3 linked regions of the Drosophila melanogaster genome follow. The protein of the gene in region 2 interacts with the protein of the main gene of each other region in a pairwise test. Each region holds a gene or a part of one and is shown on either strand. Other genes may lie near its edges.

Region 1 (5,482 bases), on a different chromosome or scaffold from region 2:
TTTCGATCGATATGTATCTTAATTAGTAGGTAAAGGTTGCTCTTGCCGGCTTTGTGTGAAATGTCATTAAAAAATTGTTGTGAAAAAGCTTATACTTTTACACATTTCAATATTTCCAAACAATTACATATTTTCTTCGCAATGACGATTTTTTGCCATCAAAGGAGGAAGTCTAATATTTTGCCATAGGTGAGTACAGTAAAGATAGATTCCTAAGTGTTAATCTTTCAATTGATAATGTATATTGTTATTACTGCATTTAAGCCATTCACTTGATCCGTAATTTTGCATGTGATGGTGTTATATTTAAATTAATATATAATAATTAAAATATTAACTTACCGCAACACACGTGATTTCATTTCGACAGAACATATTTCCCCAAGTGGTGACAACCCCAGTCGACAGAGCTTTCCAACACTGGTTGCGTTGACATTGTAAATAAATCGTTTTGAGAGATAAAGCTGAATCCGACCGAAAATGGCCAACAAATTCAGGAGTCTGAACAGCAAACTTTTCCAGCTGGCCATGAGCGGCATCCAGCGGACATCGGTGCGTCCGCGGATAAGTTTTCCGGGTCGTGGAAGCGGCTTTACTGGAAATCGCAAGCTGCTGGGAGCCCTGGGAGCCCTAACCGGAACAGCAGGGCTGCTGATCTACGCCCTGGAAACCAGCGTGGATGCCTCCTCGGACTGCGTGCATCCGGCCCACCAGCACTGGAATCACAAAGGGCTTTTGTCCGCCTTGGACAAGGAGAGCGTGCGTCGAGGTTACACCGTTTACAAGGAGGTCTGCTCCTCCTGCCACTCATTGCAGTACATGGCCTATCGCAACCTGGTGGGAGTGTGCATGACGGAGGCGGAGGCCAAGGCCGAGGCGGAGGCCATCACGGTGCGGGATGGGCCCAACGAGGAGGGCGAGTACTACGAGCGTCCCGGCAAGCTGTCCGATCACTTCCCCTCTCCGTACGCCAACGAGGAGGCGGCCCGTTCCGCCAACAATGGCTCCTATCCGCCGGATCTCAGCTATATTGTGTCGGCTCGCAAGGGCGGCGAGGATTACGTGTTCTCCCTGCTCACCGGATACTGTGATCCTCCGGCTGGTTTTGCCCTTCGTGATGGACTGTACTTCAATCCGTACTTCTCGGGCGGAGCGATTGCCATGGGCAAGGTAGTTGACAATGAGGTGGTCTCCTTTGAAGATCCAAATGTGCCTGCTTCGGCCGCCCAAATTGCCAAGGATGTGTGCGTCTTCCTCAAGTGGACTTCAGAACCGGAGACCGACGAACGTCGCCTGCTGCTCATCAAAGTTACTCTGATTTCGACCTTTTTGATTGGCATTTCCTACTACATCAAGCGTTTTAAGTGGTCAACGCTCAAGTCTCGCAAGATCTTCTTCATTCCCGAACTGGAGGCCCAGGCCAAAAGAGAGGCGGAGGAGGCCGCCAAAGCAGCGCGCAAGGCCAAGGAGCAGGAGTGCAACAAGTGCGAGAACCAGAACGAGAAGAAGGACTAAGTTTGGTGAACTGTTTAAATAAAGGTTTTTGAATTTAAATGAATGCCGCGCTTTTTATTTATCGATAGGTTTTCCAGGGCCTAACCATCCGCGCTGTAAAGCACCAACAATTGCTCTGTTATAGATTCTTGCCGGTCTGTTAAGTCAGCTGTTATGTTAAAAATGTAAATAAATGCAAAAAATAAGGTTTAGACTTTAAATTTGAACTAAAGGCCCGTTCATTTAATTATTTCTTACAACAATGGCCACATATCCATCTGCCAAATTCATGGAGTGCCTCCAATATGCAGCTTTTAAGCACCGGCAGCAACGTCGCAAGGTAAGCTTATTAAAACGCAACAAATGATATATTTAAAACATGAATACTATCTTTTTTACATTTCAAGGATCCTCAGGAAACCCCCTATGTGAACCATGTGATCAATGTGAGCACTATTCTCTCCGTGGAGGCCTGCATCACAGATGAGGGAGTCCTAATGGCTGCACTTCTGCACGATGTCGTGGAGGATACGGACGCATCTTTCGAGGATGTTGAGAAACTCTTTGGACCGGATGTTTGTGGACTAGTGAGGGAGGTGACGGACGACAAGTCCCTGGAGAAACAGGAGAGAAAACGCCTGCAAATAGAAAATGCAGCCAAAAGCAGCTGCAGAGCAAAGCTCATAAAGCTGGCTGACAAATTGGATAACCTAAGGGATCTGCAAGTCAACACACCGACAGGGTGGACACAGGTATTTGGGCCCATCTTGGTTTGAAAAACGGAACCTTATGGATCACATATTTTCATTCCAGGAGCGTCGTGATCAGTACTTCGTTTGGGCCAAAAAGGTGGTGGACAATCTGCGAGGAACCAACGCCAACCTGGAGCTCAAGCTGGACGAGATCTTCCGCCAACGCGGCCTTTTGTAAACGATCAAAAACCAACAAATTACAGATGAACCTGTTCAATTTTTATTGTTCTTGTAAAAGGCCAGCATCAGATTGGCCAACTGTTGGGTCTCCGCCAGCGTTACAGCATTGTAGAGGGAGGCTCGAATGCCGCCCACCGACCGATGACCCTTCAACTGAATCATGCCCTCGGCCTCGGCTTTGCTCAGGAACTCCTTCTCCAGGGCATCATCTCCACTGGCACTGCCAATACGGAAGGGCACATTCATGCGCGAACGCACATTGACATCCACTGGGCAGTAGTAGAAACCATTCGACTGGTTGATCGTGTCGTAAATCAACTTGGACTTGGCTGCCGCCAGCTTGGCCATACCAGCGACTCCTCCGTTCCGCTTGATCCACTTGAAAACCAGGCCCATCACATAGATGCTGCAAGGGGAAAGTTTAACAAAGAATTCACCAGCCATGTATCATTCTGGGCTCACCCAAAGGTCGGCGGAGTATTTAACAGGGAGTTGTTCTTGTCCATCTGCTCAAAGTTGAGGATGGAGGGCGTAATCTTCAAGTGCTTGCCTATCAAATCGTCCCTGACAATGATCACCGTGGTGCCCGCTGGTCCGATATTCTTCTGGGCTCCCGCATAGATAACGCCAAACTTGGAGACATCGAAGGGACGCGACAGAAAATTGGAGGACATATCGGCCACCAGTGGCACACCGGCTGGAACCTCGGGCACAAAGTCGAACTCCACGCCCTCTACGGTCTCATTGTCGCAGTAGTAGACATATGAGGCATTTGGGTCCAGCTTCCAGGTCTCCTGTCGTGGAACAGTTGTATACTTTGCCAACTTGGGCAGCACCGCGTTCACAGTGCCGTACTGAGCCGCCTCCTTGGCCGCCTTGGCCGACCAGGAGCCGGTGATTACATAATCAGCAGTGCCAGTCTTGCCAATCAAGTTCAGAGCCACTGCAGCGAACTGTCCGGTGCCACCGCCCTGCATCAGCAGAATCTTGTAGTTACTGGGCACATTGAGGAGTTCGCGAAGATCGCTGATGGTCGCATCATGGATCTTGGCATAGTTGCTGGAGCGATGGGACATCTCCATGACCGAGATGCCGCTGCCATTGCAGTTGACAAGATTTTCCTGCACCTCTTTCAGTACCTATATATGCAGATAGAGATAACCATGTAATCAAGGTTACTATTACACGTCACGTGTGTGGAGTGGTGCCACCCATTTCACCGACCTCTTCGGGCAACTTGGCTGGACCGGCGGCGAAGTTGATAACCATGCTGATACTATGTAGTGCGTCTGCGATCTATGAACCTCTCCGGGAAGCGGCTAAATATTGACTAAAGTGTTGAGCAGTCCGTGCGAGTATTCGCAATCGCTGATAAACGAGACGAAGGCGGGCACAGAGAACAGCAACAAGTCACCGGACAGTAAACAAAACGCGTGCGGAAAACCAGACTCAAATTCGCCCGACTGGACAACGAACTCGGTTGCTCCAGGGACGGATTCTCCACCGGGAGGGTGTTCGACTCCAAGCCCCCCATTTTGGGCTGCGCTCCTGTGGAGTCCATAAAGCCAGACAAAGGCAGGCGGCGGTACGGCGAATTCGATCAAAACAAGTCGGCTAACGTATATAATTACATATGTACGTACATACATACATATGTACATATGTGCAACGCACGAAAACAAAGTGCTTCCCAGTAACCCCCCCACTTCATCGTGTGTGTGCCCCGCCCCCAAGCCAGCGTGGGTTGCCATGCACTTTTCGCTGGAATGACAATAACAAGCGAGCGACTGAGTTCGCAGGCGAGTAAACAAGCTGCAAGCGAAATGTGTAAGTGCAATGTACAGTGGAGCTTCGATGCATGCGACAGTGAGTTTATGATTTCATAGCTTTTTATTGAATTATCTGTAGAGTATAACCAATATTAGGCATTATATATTTAACTAAGGCTTAAGTAAGTTGGCTACCATAATTGGTAGTAAATTTCAAGCAAAACAAACCGTCTGCCGATTAGCAATTCCGCGAACTCTTTTGCACGCCTGGTCATATCTGCAAACCGATTCCTTATCCTTATCCGCTTCCTATTGTTGTAAGGGCAATCAATCAGAAGTGCTTTAGACCTATGCTACGAATACTTATCTTGGCCTATGTCTTGGTCAAATTCGTTGGCCGTCTAATTACTTTATAGCACAGCCAGCCTGAAAGGTGCTTAGAGTTTCCAATTTGCCGGGGCGCCCAAAACGAATTTCCTATGAGAAGCTGGCCAACGTGTCTGGAAACCCAAACGTGCTCGGCTCGTGCGTTCCATTTCGGACTTGGAGTGGAGTGGGTGGGAGGATGTGGGCGGATGTGGGTGGCAAGGTGCTGTCTGTGGTGGGCGACGGGAACTGGTTCGCCTCGTTGGGCGCTGGGATGTGGGCTGGTCATTCATAAGCGCTGAGCCAAAAAGCCAATAATTTTGCCCTGTAATGTTGATTGCACAGCTCAATGGGGCGCCTTTGGCGTCCGACGTCCAAGACGTCGGAATGGTGAATGGCAGTCGAAAAAAAATCCTCAAACAACAATTTCGTTTTGACTAATTAGGGTTTTTAAGATTTATTGCCCGGCTGCCTTAAAAGTAAGTACATAATTTCAGTTATGGCCGCTCCGCCTGCACTTTGTTCACAATGTCGCTCCAAAACGTTCCGTACTCCTGTAGCACAGTGCCCCTGCAGCGAAAAGTGAAAATGTTAATTCTTATGGTTGCTCGCAAGTCATGATTTTTTCTAATTTATTCGCAAGGAAGTCTATAAATAGTTAGTAGACAATGATTAGGCAATATTAGCAGATGATTTTTAAGGTGAGACGACACTGGACTACAGTACTTTCAAATCAAATGGTTATGGAGAAAATAATACATTTTATAGCTTATAATTCTGTGCATTAATTCCCTTAGTGTACTATGATGATTGATTTCAGATCTTGTGCAAGATGTGTCCATAAACTTTGCTTGTCTGTTTGTGATTAATACCCATATTTGCATATTTTGGTTTTGGTAGAATGACAAATGAGACAAGTGT
Region 2 (8,736 bases):
GAGGGGCAAAACTTCTGGCTGAAGGCGGAAAATTTTGCACTGCAAGAATAAGTCAAGAAATCATCAACGATGCCATTAGCATAGGGTCCAGAAGTGACCGAACTTCTGCCCCTTAGTGGTGGCAAAAAGTTTTGTGGCTTTCTTTTTCGAAAGGGGTTGCCAAGAGTTTTAACAAGCTCCTTACATTTTCTTCCCCCTTGCGGGAAAAATAGGAATATAGTCTCGTCTTGGAAAATAACTTAATAATTAGGTGGCTTGAAATGAATCTAAAATATGTGCAAACTTAAGTGTTATATGCATAAACTATTTTTCTACACGTTTTTGAACAGATGCTTTGAATGTTTGAGGCAAGATATATGAAGTACCAATGATCATGCAGGATATACGCCTACGCCTGGAACCACAGCACAGTAAAGCCACATTCATATCCTCCTCCTCGGCCTCATCGTCCTCATCCCAAACAGCTGAGACCACGCTGATTGAGACAGCTGAGAAGTCGCCAGCCAGGTGAGTGTAGGGAAGGGAAGGGCAGAAGTAACTCCCTTAATCTTTAACGCAAAGTATACCTCGTCCTTAATCCTCTCGCTCATTTGTTAACCGCAGTGAAGCAGCTGCTGGAACAGTGACAACGACATCGCCGCAGCATTTCTTCCATCATCATCATCCGCCGGCTCATCCGCATCCGCCCCGCCAGCAGCCGCATCCGCATAGCCACTCGCATCCGCATCCGCATCCGCAACTCCAGCGCCGCCCGGTGGAGCAGCTGCATCTGCTGCATAGCCACCACGATGTCCAGGAGCTGTCCGGACAGGAGCATCCACATCCGCAACCCGGCTCGCATCCGCATCCGCACCATCTGCGCTCGCCCAGCTCCGAGGAGGATAATTCGCCCACAGAAATGAATAATTGCCGTCGTTTGGTGGATAAGCCGCCGCTGGTAAGTTCTGCGAGGGTTCACTGTAAGAAATGGTAGTCATATTTTAAAAAGCTGTCGGAAAAATATAAGAAAGCCCTTTATATTGTAGGGTAACACTTCTATATATATTATGCAAAAGGAAATAATAACTCTGAATGGCAGGTCATAATGTATGCCCACTGATTTTTTTCAATACATAACTTATTCTCATTTTTTGCCGATTCCGCTAGTTAATATTAACTATTAGCCAATGTATTGAAAACAGAGACGGATTTTGCGATGCCAGTCGAGGGAGCAATCATTTTTTTTTTTGTTTTGCTTTGTTGCCAGGCTCCTTTGTTGGCCATTTCTCATTGCTCGCAAATTACTTTGCACAGAGCATAAATCTGCTTACGCTGATGATTTGCCAGGAAACAAGAGCTGGTGGGGGAATTTGAAAGGAATTACCTATTGGAGGAGCATCGGCTGGGGATGCACTTAGTGAAAGAAATGCCAGGTAGCGGCGGAAAAGGAAAACTTCAGATCGAGACAGCATTTACGAAATGCAAAAAGCGAGGAAAATGAGGGAAAATTCGTTCAATTCATGTTGCCTAGCTTAAATTCTCTATTTAGTTGTTTTAATTGCATAAACCTTAAATCACTTGTGTGAAATTGCGCTGCTTGAATCGAACTCGAAAGCGACAGGAGTAGGCACTTCAGGTGGAAATTGTTTTTGCCACCAAAACTGCAGCCGAAAAGGAGTTCATTAAATTAATTTGCACAAATGCAAATTTTCGAGTAACGCCACTTTGGCACGCGCCACTAACAAAGGTGCACTAGCTGCACACGACGAAAATGCAGAACAAATGGGAGGACACTGAGAGAAATAATTTAATATTACCCAAAAAGAAAATCCAGAAATATTTGAATGTAAAACATTACTAGCATTTTTTAAAAGATTTTCATGGATTTTAGCAAATTTATATAGTATATTTCAGATATTAAATTTCGCAAGAAATTTGTCACTTGACATGCGAGCATAATTCACTTGTAAAGAGCAGTCCTAAATGTGTTTAACTAAAGTTTAAAGTATTTGCAATTAAACTGCATTTTACTGTCAATTTAAATTTAGTTGAGTAGGGCATACTTAGCACTTTTAAATGCCAATTAAATGAGCAGTAACTCAATTGCCGTCCATAATCCTAAAGCGAGCATAGTTAGCTAACTAATTGCTTTCTTTTGTCGGCAACAACTTGGACCGAAACCCCGTTACCATTCATTCATAACTTTCTACTTAAACCATTTCATGGCAGGGCGTTGAATGCTTCCCATTTTGCCGTAGTGCAGTTTGAAGTTGGATAACACGAGTCCTGGTGAACAATGCAGGATGCCATGGCAAATGGCAGGCAAATGGCGTTAACTTACTGACTTTATGACACATAAATCGCAGCAACAGCGCCAAATGCAACCGACAGCCACGTGTTTTTAGGCCTAGGGAAAGGACGTGGAAAGGAATCCTTGCCAACAGGACAATGGAGCAACTTTTCTCTGGCGCCGCCTGAAAGTAGGCAACGTGCAAAAGTTTCGAACAGATAACAAGGCAAGGAGAAAATGCAAGAAAATCAAATGGCAGATGGGAGCATCGCTGCTGCGAATGCTGCTTAGACACGTCTATTGTGCCATTGTCTGGGAAAATACCTTGGAAAAGTCCAGCCCGCCTCCGCCCCATCTGCATTCTTTACGTTCGGGATTTTGCTGTGGCACTTCTGGAGCTCGAGTCCTTCGCGTTTTGCATTGCATAATGCGCTGCTGTTCCCTTCCGATTGCCATTAGCATAATGGGGGCATTAGGTTGGCACGATGCTCTGATTGCATACTTAACGACAGTGCCAAGTGCCGTCGATGCGCCAATTTAATTAGCTGCAATTGAAGCAACGAGCCTGAATCGAGCGAAAATCCTCAATTTAACTGGCCGCATACTGGCCAAGTAAATCGGCACTCATCTCCATAAAATCAACATAATTATCGCAAGTTAAGACCAAAATAAGCAAGTCCAATTTACGCTTAGACTGCTAATTACGCAACGCAATGGGAAACGATTTAAAAGCTGCAAAATGAAAACCCAAAGGCAGTAGCACAAACTTTTCGTTCGGGGCTCGAACTCATTTCAAAGTAATTTGCCGCAAAAGCCAGTGGTTGCCATAGTGGGCGTACTGTGGCCAAGGGGGCGTGGCAAGCGCTGTTTAACATTTTATTGGTAACCAAAAATTTTACACATCAATCTCGGTTGTTTTCTGTGTGGTGTGGTGGGGGGGGGGGGGGAATTGGAAGTGTGTGGCACGACGTTGTTGTGGTTCTGGCCGTGAGAGCTAAAGTGTGTTTGATGTTTGTTGGATTTTCCGGGCGGAAGCCGGAGCAGGGGTTAAGCTGTGGGGGGTGGCGCCACAAATCCCTGAATGAATACACACCTGCACCGATACTGACGGTCAGGCGAGAGTTGTCCCGAAATCGCCATTATAGCAATGCAAAAACTTTGCCAAATTGGCAGACAACATGCAACATGCAAATCGTACCACTAGCAATGGATGCACTGAAAACAAAAAGTAGTAAATGTTATTAATATTACATCACACTTTACTTAAGTTGCATAACAATTCAAAAATAACTGCATACTAAACAATGGGAATGTAATAATGGGAATGTATTAATACTTATAATTACTTTCTGTGCACTCCTATCCCTTCACAGGTGAAACGCCTGACCATGGGCATTGGACTGCTGCGGGGAACCGAGGACAGCCGCCCCCTGATGCACAGCACCTGCGGCTCCTCGCTGACCTCCGGATCCGGCTGTGGATCCACTCAGACCATCTCCGATGGCTATGTGAACGAGGCCATCTGCGAGCCGGACAAGTACGTGGCCAGCAAGTTCGGCGACTCCTGCCGCCAGTCACTGTCCGCACTGGAGAGTGCCACCCAGCGGCTGCAGGTGGAGCTGCCCGCCGCCAGCAAAAAGTATCTGAGAGAGACGTGCAGCGGTAGGTAGACTCTTATGTCACAGATATGAAATGGTTGGCTAAGGTTACCTTACTTCCGTGTAATTATCAGCCAACTCCAGTCCGAAATTGTTTCCCGGCCACAGTGCCCTGCGCCTGGATAATCTCAGCCTAGCCGAGCAGCAGGAGCTTAAGGGAGCCGCCTGGTTTCAAGCGGGCATTCCCAGGGAAATATCCCTGGAGGCCCTGTCCCGACAGAGTCCAGGTGCGTTTCTAGTGCGCCAGAGCAGCACAAAGCCGGGATGTTTCGCCCTCTCGCTGCGAGTGCCACCACCTTCACCACGAGTGGCCCACTATCTGATCCTGCGGACGCAAAGGGGCTACAAGATAAAGGTAAGTCCGAGCACATTATATATAATATTTATTATATATTATGATGGTATTTACCATTTTAGGGCTTCACCAAGGAGTTCAGTTCGCTGAAGGCGCTGATCACGCACCACTCGGTGATGCCGGAACTGTTGCCCGTGCCGCTGACCCTGCCACGCCCACCTAGTACCCGATCGCAACGATCGCAGGGCGCCTACGCAGGCGGAACCGGAAACGGGGGAGCGGACTTCGAGATGTATGGCTCGCTGAACGACTTTCGCAAAATGATGGCCGATTTGAATGTGTGACCGCTGGGCGCTCTTAATTAATTAAGTAATTATGTCACGTTGATTGAATTAAGCTGCCCAGCTTGTCACATTGTCCTGCGTCCTGTGTCCTCTGTCGCGACAGGATAACAATCTGTTTAATTTGCGTAATTGGCTGTGCTGACGACGGTTGACGTGGCTACCAATAAATAGGGTCCATGTCCATGTGTACTCGGGCCGGCAAAGGCCCACCTGTCCGACAGGTGCTGCAAAAAGTGCACAAACATTTTTTATTAAAATTGATAATAAAATCAGCTACGTGGGCGGCTGCGATGGCTGTGGTTTCGCAGGGGCGTGTTTGCATACACAAATATAGGGAATACGCTCAAATCATTTTTGCGAAACTGATTAAAAAATGGCAAAAACATGCAATATGTATACGCAAACAGACATCAAGTGATTATTATTTTTCGCGTTTTTATCAATTCTGCTCGTTTTGTACGGCTAGTGCTGAGTGGCAGATGCATCAGACAGACGTACTATACATATCTGAATGGGGGCAGTCGGATTAAATGTTAATGTTTGGGTAGGGAAATCGAGGGTCGGCTGCCGGGATTTGGAGTGCGGATGCGGAATGGGCAAAGTGGATTCTTTTTGTATTTGATGCACTCACTTTGCGGTGCAGTGGCTAGATAGACTTATATGGGAAGTAAATGAATAACCAATTATATTGTAACTCTATGTATTTTGTAATAAAGTTAATGGAAAACCTTTTCAAATAGTATTGTTTATTTTCTGATCTATAGCATGCAATATACATACAATCACGTTGAAAATGAAGCATTGGCTTAAAGGTAGAACATTTTATAATATTTAACAACAAATTTGTTTTGAAATAATGTGAGTGGGTAAGGAAAGTTTAAATTTCCCGCACATTATCGATAGCTCTTTCGATAGAATCGGTCGGCAATCGGCTCGCAAACTCGCTAGAGAACTGTTAACCAACTGTCATAGTTTGAGTTCACGCTACGCTCCATTCTAAAAGTTATCAATATCTCGAAATAAATAAACTGTGGGTTATAGCAGGCTTTGTTTTATTATTTGCAATTAGGAACAGTGCAAAGATAACAAAGATGTACTAACAATTGGTCAATAGGCGCAGAAGCGACCCTGAAATTGGAGTGTGACCTCGCTAATAGCCAGATGCGGCGGGGAATTCGCCAAGCCCGCAACACTGTACCCTGAAGGCCAGCTGCCGCCGCTTCCCGCGCATTTTCTTCGACCCAGGTAGGTCGCATTGGGATTCGCTTGCATTTGGTGTTTTCACTCGCCTCCAAACCGCCGTAGCAACACCATCTAGACAACGTGGAACTCCCGCTGAACCAGAGACCGGCATTATTTCCATTGTGAGTGTGAGCAGAACTAAGCTGCATCACCGGCGTCCCTAACCTTATATATATTTCTTACACACACACACAAACGCACTATTTCCAGTTTCGGTGACAAAAAATTGTGAAAATACAAGCTAAAATGCCGCGCAGAAAGGCCCTGACTAATAACAACAATGCCGGCGAAGCGGAGCAGCAGCCACCGAAGGCGAAGCGCGCCAGAATCGCTTTTCATCTGGAGCTGCCCAAGCGGAGGACCGTGCTCGGCAACGTGCTAGTCTGCGGCAACGGCGATGTGGGCCAACTTGGTCTCGGCGAGGACATACTGGAGCGCAAGCGTCTCAGCCCTGTGGCGGGCATCCCGGATGCCGTGGACATATCCGCCGGTGGCATGCACAACCTGGTGCTGACCAAGTCAGGGGACATTTACTCATTCGGTTGCAATGACGAAGGTGCTCTAGGCCGTGACACCAGCGAGGATGGCAGCGAGTCAAAGCCGGATCTTATCGATTTGCCCGGCAAGGCTCTGTGCATTTCGGCGGGAGACTCGCATTCCGCTTGTCTGCTGGAGGATGGCCGTGTCTTCGCTTGGGGCTCGTTCCGGGACTCTCATGGCAACATGGGCCTCACCATCGATGGTAACAAGCGTACGCCCATCGATCTGATGGAGGGCACTGTCTGTTGTAGCATCGCGTCCGGCGCCGATCATTTGGTCATCCTGACCACTGCCGGAAAGGTCTTTACCGTGGGCTGCGCTGAGCAGGGACAACTCGGCCGGCTGTCGGAGCGTTCCATCTCCGGAGAGGGTAAGTCTTGGCATTCAAATTTTCAACGAAATTCGTATTAAAAAAATGTTAACCCCCAGGTCGTCGTGGCAAACGCGACTTGCTGCGGCCCACCCAGCTCATCATCACGCGGGCCAAACCTTTTGAGGCCATCTGGGCCACCAACTACTGCACATTCATGCGCGAGTCACAGACACAGGTCATCTGGGCCACAGGGCTTAACAACTTCAAGCAGCTGGCCCACGAGACAAAGGGCAAGGAGTTCGCACTGACGCCCATCAAGACGGAACTCAAAGATATCCGACATATTGCCGGCGGTCAGCACCATACTGTCATCCTGACAACGGACCTTAAGTGTTCCGTAGTGGGTCGTCCGGAGTACGGTCGGCTTGGTCTGGGCGATGTCAAGGATGTTGTGGAGAAGCCAACGATTGTAAAGAAGCTGACCGAAAAGATTGTGTCCGTTGGATGTGGCGAAGTCTGTTCCTATGCCGTTACAATTGATGGCAAACTGTATTCCTGGGGCTCCGGTGTCAACAATCAACTAGGCGTTGGCGACGGCGATGATGAGCTCGAACCGATCGTGGTTGTCAGCAAGAACACGCAGGGGAAGCACATGCTGCTCGCATCTGGCGGTGGTCAGCACGCAATCTTTTTGGTCAAAGCGGACAAACAGGACCAGAAGGAGAATGTTCCAGTGAAGGTGTCTGGCAGCAGCAGCATCAGTAAAAAGGACAAGACCCCGCCGCAGGATAATGTCGACAAGGAAGCCGAGAATGTAGATAAGCAGGAGCAGAAGGAAAACTTGCCGGCGAAGGCGTCAACCAGCAGCAAAAAGAACAAGACGCCGCCGCAGGATAATGCCGACAAGGAAGCCGAGAATGTAGATAAGCAGGAGCAGAAGGAAAACTTGCCGGCGAAGGCGTCAACCAGCAGCAAAAAGATTAAGACGCCGCCGCAGGATGATGCCGCCGAGGAGGTCGAAGAGGAGTCTGCTCAGGAACCGACTCCCAAGAAGGCCAAGAAGCCTGCTGCCAAGCGGGGCGGTAAAAAGACATAAGATTGAGTATAAATACGCTGACTTTCCCACTTTGTTTTTGGTAACACTAAGTTACGAACCCGTACGCTTACCCTACGCTTAAGGAAGGCAATGAGTAGCCCAGATTCGTAAGATAGATCGGAAATTTTGCTTATTGTACGTTAAGATCTACGAACTGAATCCTGTTAAGTTCTTTTTATTTTGATAAATAGATGCCCGCTTATATCTTACAAGTCTGCCTAAAGACGAAAACTTCTTTATCAATCCAACTAAGTGTTTATTATATATATTCGTTCGCAATACGAAGCCGTAGTAAATTTGTATTTGAACGCAAAAGGAAACTAAATGAGATTTATTTACAAACTAATTAACTTGATTATATCATACACAAAGATATACATCCTACTCACAGTGTATTATAAATTCTTGGCTCAGGCGGGGCAAATGGGAGATTACCGGCAAAAAAGCTACAAAAGATTGGGAGATTGTCTCGTAAGCGCGAGACATCATTTACTCAATAATATCAGGAAACACGAAATTGTTACTCTTATGGTAGGTCTTAAGATTTATACAAAAATATGTATTTGCTTGGAGGGTGGTTCGATTTGCAATGAAGGGAAACATCTTAAAATTACCTTTAAAAGCAAAGGTGTCTAAACAATTCGCAGGACCCGGGAATTCATGAATGCAAGCCATTGAAGTATGTAAGAAGGCTTTAATATTTGTAGTTTTCATACCTGGCAAGGGTCAAAATGGATTATTACGTGTACAGAGGTGAACAAGTTGCATTTACTGCTGAACAAATCGAACCACCCTGGCATGCACAGTTGAGGGTTTTGGCTTCACTACGAGTAGTAACACGGCTGACGATTGCCTCTGCCTGAGTCGACTGTGGCTAGGGAGGTGGTTATGGTAGTGGTGGTGGAGTTTCCGCCGTAGTTGCTTCCCAGGTAGAAGCTCACGAACAAGATGCCGCACAGCAGCGATAGCGAAAGAACGA
Region 3 (6,457 bases), on a different chromosome or scaffold from region 2:
ATGCCATCATTAAACAATCCCGCGACTAAGCTTATAATAAATACAGAAAGAAAAAAAAAACTAATAATTACCCCAAGCAGCTTACGCAAATAGTTTTGGTGAATTTAATAGAATTTGAAGGGGGGGGATGTTGAAGGGAGACTACCCCCACTTAATTGACACATTCCACTTGGTTTTCGGTGGCTCATTAAAAGATGTGGTTTGTGGGGTGGGACTAGACAAATAATCCCCGTAGCCAGGGCGCTAGCTATATATATATATATATATATATATATGTCTATATATAATATATGTATGTATATATTTGTGCTATATAGTGGGGATGAACGGATTTGTCTAAGCTGCCAACGCAGTTACAACTAATAACACAACTTTGGGGCACCAAGCGTTGTCAGGTCAGCGCCCAGTTTTCTGGCCACCGGAACCACAAGGAGACCGGTGGGCTCCCATTCTGGGCCACCCTAGTCCACCCTGGACCAGTGCAGACCACCCTTTCAACTTTTCCAAACCGAACATATCCTTCTCGCCTAGGCATTTGCAATTCATTCGGGCACATAAATCTAAACGGCACCACGCACTTACACTTAATGACATTTTATTACAAAATTTTTACACAGACCCATCGATCGACAGAGATAGAAATAGACATTGCCGGCACTGGGAGCGACAGAGATGGCGCAAAATACCAGACATTGAGGCGTCAGCTCCATTTTAATAACATAAATTAATATGCAAATTGGAACAGAATTTTAATTGAAAATCGTTTCGATACAAATACAAATTCGGTGCATTTTTCGAACCGCCCAACGCGAATTCCTGTCAATCATCAACATTTTGATTGGATTGTGTAAAATGTTTTGGCATAATGATTTTACATTTTTACACCTAAGAAAACCTGCATCATTTCTATATGTATATTCCAAAAATTCGTAGCATTTCTTTGTATGCCTTAAATAGTTTCATTTATTTATTTGCAAACTCTTTCAGTACTCTTATTATATAACTTTAAACATAAAAAAAAAATTGAGCAACGCACCGGCAAAAAAAAGAAAAACTTTTGTATCTAATGCACTTTTTATTCGCGGACATTTATGTTTTCTCGAGCTCAAACTTTATTCGAAAAACTTCTTGGTGCCCTTTGAACTTTGTCAAACATCCAGAACTTTCATCACTTTTGCACCTTTTCGTGCATATAACTTTTGGAATTTCTTTGTAAAATTATTTCATTTTCGAAAGTTTTGGCTTGTATACTTTTTGCCATCACTATCCATTTAAAAAATGTTCAAGCCTGTATTCGATTTCATGCCATTTTTCTCAATGATTTTTTTTTTTTTTTGTATTCTTTATGTTGTCTTAGCTTTAATTTCAATTTGAATCCAAACTTGAAATACCCTCCTATATATACATATATGTATATTTCATATGAATTTCCTAAAGGTAGCACACTTAAATTATAAACCCTCAATTATCGCATGGATAACATTCACACAACCATCGAAAATCCCAGGCACTTTCACATCCGCAGATGGTCAATATCTTGGCCGGGTTTATTATTTCGATTCGCGTTAAAATGCCACACAAACATTGCGAATAAAGTAGATAAAAACCTATACACATTGGAATCGGGGGATATCTGGCATCTCTCTATAACTGCACCGATAAATATACACACAAACAAAAAAAGGGGTATTGTTTATTATTCCGGGACGTACGCATGATCGCTATTGACATCCAGGGAGTTCTTCGCTTTTTTTTTCTTCCACCGTCTCAACGGGCAATAAACAATATTTAATTATAGACTCTGATGGGCACAGCACAAAAAAAAAACAAAAAAAAACCAAAAAGAATCAAAATCAAAATAAAACTTCGCCGCACTTCAATGTGTAAGATCGCGGATCGGTGGATCCAAAAATATATATGCGCGGTATATAGTCGGAATATAGTCGATTTTTGGTCCGCAGCAGACGCGCGTTCGCCGCCAACGATAACAAACAACTGAGCTGAAAAAAAGGCGAGCGAATGCCTGCAACATGTGGCATGCGGCCTTTCCAGGTGCCCCGCCCACTGGCGCCGCCCAGCCGACCGCCCAACCGCCCACTTTTCACCCAACCAAGCACACAACGCACTCATTCAGCGCGCCGGCTGGCAATTTATGAATGAAAAGCTGAACGGGAAAAGCTCCAAAGAAACCAACGAACGCCAAGTTCAAGGTGAAAAGCCCTTTGGGGGAAAAGCGCGCGCCGGAAAAGCTCAGGAAATGAAAATGCGCCGAGCCAAAGGGAATTTCCTAATGAAATTCAAATAGATAATATGTATGTGCCAAAAGGAAATAAACTAAGATATTATGTCTATATCTCGCATATACTTTGCAATAGAATTAGTTATTTAAATTATTTATTATATTTATTATTATTACGCAATAAATAAACGATCTGTTCAATTTTTCGATAAATAACTTATTTAATAGCAACATAATTTACAATACAAGTAGAGCACAAATGAACGAAGGCTTAAAAAAAAAAAACAAAAAAAAATTTGAAAAGATCCCTAGGTGGAGTGAGTGGTGGACTCAGTAGTGGTGGTAGTTGTGGCCCTGTTGCTGCTGTTGCTGCTGCTGCTGCTGCTGCTGGTGCTGCTGCTGCGCCAAGTTGGCCTGGGCGAAAATGTGCTCCAGCTCGGCATCGGTCAGCTGGTCAAAGATGCCGCCCTGACCACCGATTCCGGCACTACTGGCACTCAGGGCCGACGGTTGGGATCCCACGGGTGGCAGGTAACCTGGAAAATATTCGTTTGAAATATAGCATAATAATATATATCCATAACGTCATCTGAGCTCACCTTCAGCTGGCGCACTTCCGTATGGCGGGAGCAGGGTGATCGAGGGTCGATTCGGCGACGCTGGCGCGGATTCGGTGGGTGGACTATAGAATACCGGCTTCCAGGGCTGCTGGACGGATGGCCGCTGTGGTGGCACCTCCGACGGCGTCTCCGGCTCGGGTGATTGTGGGGGAATCTGCGGCGAGGCTATACCCGTGCCGGATTCAGGGCGGACGGGAGTGGAGCCCGGCAGCGGTACAATTCCGCCGGGGAATTGCGACTCTGGTTGGCCAAAAGTGGGTGGCTGCTGCGGCAATGGTGGCTGTGGAGCAGCCGGAAAGAATTGGCTAGTTGGTGGACTGGGGAAGGCCGGGACCGTGGGTACAGCTGGAACTCCTGGAACGGAGGGAGGTGATGGAATGGCTGGCGCCTGGGGGAACTGGGGAATCTGGGGAAAGCCGGGAAATTGAGGGAATCCGGGAAATTGTGGTATTTGGGGTATCTGCGGTATGGCCGGAATCTGTGGAATGGCGGGAACCTGTGGCACTTCTGGGGCTTCTGGTGCAGCTGGAACTGCCGGCTGGGCGGGCACAGCGGGTTGGGCTGGCACCGCTGGCTGAGCGGGCTGGAAGCTAAAGGTCGGCACACCGGGGAACTGAGGCGGTTGTGGGAACTGAGGGATCACCGGCAAATCCACAGCTGGGGGAGACGGAACACCGAAGGTCACTGTAGGTTGGATGGGTTGAACCGGTTGAAGGGGCTGAACCGGTTGGATTGGGCTAACTGGCTGCAGATGGGTGGTCACCGGTTGCACCGGTTGAAGGGGCTGAATGGGCTGGAGATGATGAACTGGCTGCACTGGCTGCACGGGCTGAACAGGCACTGCCGGAGCAGTCGGAGCATAGGTCTGCACATAAGTGGGCTGCAACAGAAAAGAATGAAATGGTCAACGGGATATTCCACAAGTTTCCTATGTAGCTAACTCACCTGCACGGCATGCACATGGCCATGAGCCGGAGCATGGAAGTGGACAGGCTTTACGGCGGACTGAAAGACCACGGGCTTCTGCAGGTGCTGGTGCGGATAGTTGACGCTGTACGAGGAGACGACCGCATTTCCGGGACGCAGGACGTACGAGGGCGGAGCCACGGCGGTGGACAAAGCGGTGGCCACGCCGGTGGACAAGGCAGTAGCGACTCCGGCGGGAATGGCACTGGCCACGCCACCGGGCAGACCGGTGGGCAATCCAACGGGCAGGGCTGAGGCGACGGCGGGCAGCAGGGCAGCGGGTGCGGGAGCTAAGGCGGGCAGCAAACCGGAACCGGAAACGAGCGGCTTGACCAGACCATGGCCGTATTTGACGAAGTGGCGGCGCGGAGGAGCGGCGGCCAGGAAGGCACTGCCTCCTGGCAGCTGCAGGCTATAGCCGTAGTGGGCGGCATAGGTGCGGGCGGGCCATTGGCCGTGCAGGTGGGCGTGGCCGTGTAGAATGCCACGCTTGTGCTTTCCGGTCGTGACCTCCACTTCCGTTTCCGGTTCGGTAACCACACTGGCCGTTGGGGCACTCTCCGCCACCGATTCCTCTTGTAGCGGGGCATCCTCGGAGGTCACTGTCAAAGTGGGCGTTGTGCTGGCGGGGGGCGTGACCGATCGACTGGTGTGACGCAAACGTAAGCCCGCCTCAGCTCGATGAGAAACCAAGATGACAGCCAAGACCATCAGAAGATGGAGGCTCCTCGAACTGGCCAAGAGATTCATTTCGATTCAGTGGACTTGATTTCTATATGCGTATATTTGGACACTATGTAATATATCGCCTCGCCTCGCGTTTAATCCGTTTGCTGCGATCGCCGACAAGAAAATGAAATGAACTTCCTTGGTCGCTGTTGTATTTATAAAGCGGACATCGCGGCACAGTGGAGTGGCACATACCCACTGTGCATACCAATCGGTGGCACTGGTGGTGCTAGCAATGCACCACCGTCAGCGGCTCATCGGCATGGCATACGGCATGGATTGGGCAGTTTATGACTTTTACGCTGCCATTTCACCTGCCGCAATCGAAGACCCCTCACCCACTGACCACTGACCACTGAGCAGCGCCTCATTATGCTGCGCCACCTGACCACGCACTGTGGTACCGTAGATTGTGCGCATATATATGGTATGTATATTCCTCAAGTATGGAATATTCCTACTACACTTCATATCTAAGTTTACTTCTTATTCAGATATCGAGATTATTATCATAAAAATCTAAAAGGCTAAAACTCTATATAGTTTGCCAACAACTTTGCCCACTAGTCCCACTGATTGCCTGGCCCCGCTCCACTGTCCCATTGGCCGGAATCCACCTACGCATGCGCAGCACGTTGCCGCACGCACCAAACTTTTGCTTTCAATGGCCTGCATGTTCCGCATGCTTTTTGTGCTCAGTTTTTTTTGTTTTTTATCGCCGGACTCTTTTCACTTTCGATTGCCGGAGATGGAAGGTCCGAAGGTTTATGATTTGGCTGCAATTTAGATACAAATCAAATGTGTCTCCGCTTACATAATCCGGCCAATAATATGGGCGGCTATTCGGGTGTCCAATCCGTGTTAATCAGTCGCCGGGTGAAAGCATAATAAAGCCATTGTAATAAAAGCAAAAGCGCACAATTGCAAAGCACCAATTAGCAATTACCTATTAAGCATGGCACGGTCAATTATTTTGATGGCATTTCAATGCTATTATTTGAATTTCGTTAAAATTCAACATTCACACGCATAAATTTCACCTGCACTACATCTGATGGCGAACTGAAGTCAATAGATAAGTGGATAGTTTCTGCATTATATCACATCCCATCGCCGTAAATGGACTTTCGATTAGCCTACATGGAGATTTTCACTTTTTTTTGGAAACGACCCGTTGGGTGTGTGGAATTTAAATCGATTACAGTGCCTTACACCTGGCATCTGGTACAGTTCGGTTATTGGGCTACCACCATATCGCCCTTTGCATCTAAGTGGGTCTGGCACACAATCCTCAAGGTCTTTCCCAGGCCTTGCCGCCGGAGATGTCATCAGTTTGCCGTTTGGGTTTGCCTTTTGGCACATGAAGTACATATATTTGACAAAGAGCTACATAAACCTCAAAATGTAAACATACAGAAATAAAAGCCGCCAGAGGAGCTTGTTTAATTCGATGCTTTATGACCTGCCCGACGTGAGCAGCATGAAAAAACGCAAAAAACCAACAATATAGATTATAGTTAAGCCCCATCAAATGGTCTTAGGATTTCCTAATCGCTTACAACAAATATCATCCTCGGCTGTCACAGTTTGAAGCCGGAGTGAATGCTGACCACGCCGAAGGTTAGGTTCTCGTAGGACACCTGATCGAATCCGGCCTGCTCGATCATTTGCTTGAATTGCTCCTGCTTGGGAAACCGTCGGATGCTCTCAACGAGATACTGGTACGCCTGCCACTGACCAGCCAGCAATTGGCCCATGGGCGGAATCACCTGGAAGGAGTACTGGTCATATAGCCATTGCATCGTTTCGTTCGTCAGATGACTGAACTCCAGGCACATGAATCGTCCGCCCGGCTGCAGCACTCGATACGCTTCAGAAAGAACCTTAGATGGAAGGGAGAAAT

The links.
Region 1: the proteins of Rcc1 (region 2) and CG11899 interact in a two-hybrid assay, tested with the Drosophila melanogaster proteins (one large-scale study listed by BioGRID).
Region 3: the proteins of Rcc1 (region 2) and CG12723 interact in a two-hybrid assay, tested with the Drosophila melanogaster proteins (one large-scale study listed by BioGRID).

What each region holds. Positions count from the first base shown.
Region 1 is NT_033777.3:29,198,734-29,204,215, reverse strand, and holds CG11899 (uncharacterized protein), read right to left. Parts: upstream 3,763-5,482; 5' UTR 3,696-3,762; coding exon 3,651-3,695; intron 3,566-3,650; coding exon 2,889-3,565; intron 2,833-2,888; coding exon 2,460-2,832; 3' UTR 2,446-2,459; downstream 1-2,445. Other genes in the region: Cyt-c1L (cytochrome c1-like), read left to right, coding at 481-1,515; Mesh1 (metazoan SpoT homolog-1), read left to right, coding at 1,757-1,834, 1,902-2,246, 2,308-2,424; CG14515 (uncharacterized protein), read right to left, coding at 5,059-5,131. UniProt on the Drosophila melanogaster protein: Catalyzes the reversible conversion of 3-phosphohydroxypyruvate to phosphoserine and of 3-hydroxy-2-oxo-4-phosphonooxybutanoate to phosphohydroxythreonine.
Region 2 is NT_037436.4:5,929,600-5,938,335, reverse strand, and holds Rcc1 (regulator of chromosome condensation 1), read left to right. Parts: upstream 1-5,562; 5' UTR 5,563-5,930; intron 5,931-6,018; 5' UTR 6,019-6,054; coding exon 6,055-6,718; intron 6,719-6,777; coding exon 6,778-7,757; 3' UTR 7,758-8,074; downstream 8,075-8,736. Other genes in the region: Egfrap (EGFR adaptor protein), read left to right, coding at 368-507, 604-937, 3,643-3,931, 4,002-4,282, 4,345-4,566. UniProt on the Drosophila melanogaster protein: Promotes the exchange of Ran-bound GDP by GTP. Involved in the regulation of onset of chromosome condensation in the S phase. Binds to chromatin.
Region 3 is NC_004354.4:13,187,198-13,193,654, forward strand, and holds CG12723 (uncharacterized protein), read right to left. Parts: upstream 4,687-6,457; 5' UTR 4,576-4,686; coding exon 3,805-4,575; intron 3,740-3,804; coding exon 2,839-3,739; intron 2,776-2,838; coding exon 2,570-2,775; 3' UTR 2,446-2,569; downstream 1-2,445. Other genes in the region: Lgr4 (Leucine-rich repeat-containing G protein-coupled receptor 4), read right to left, coding at 1,713-1,731; Coq5 (coenzyme Q5), read right to left, coding at 6,135-6,437.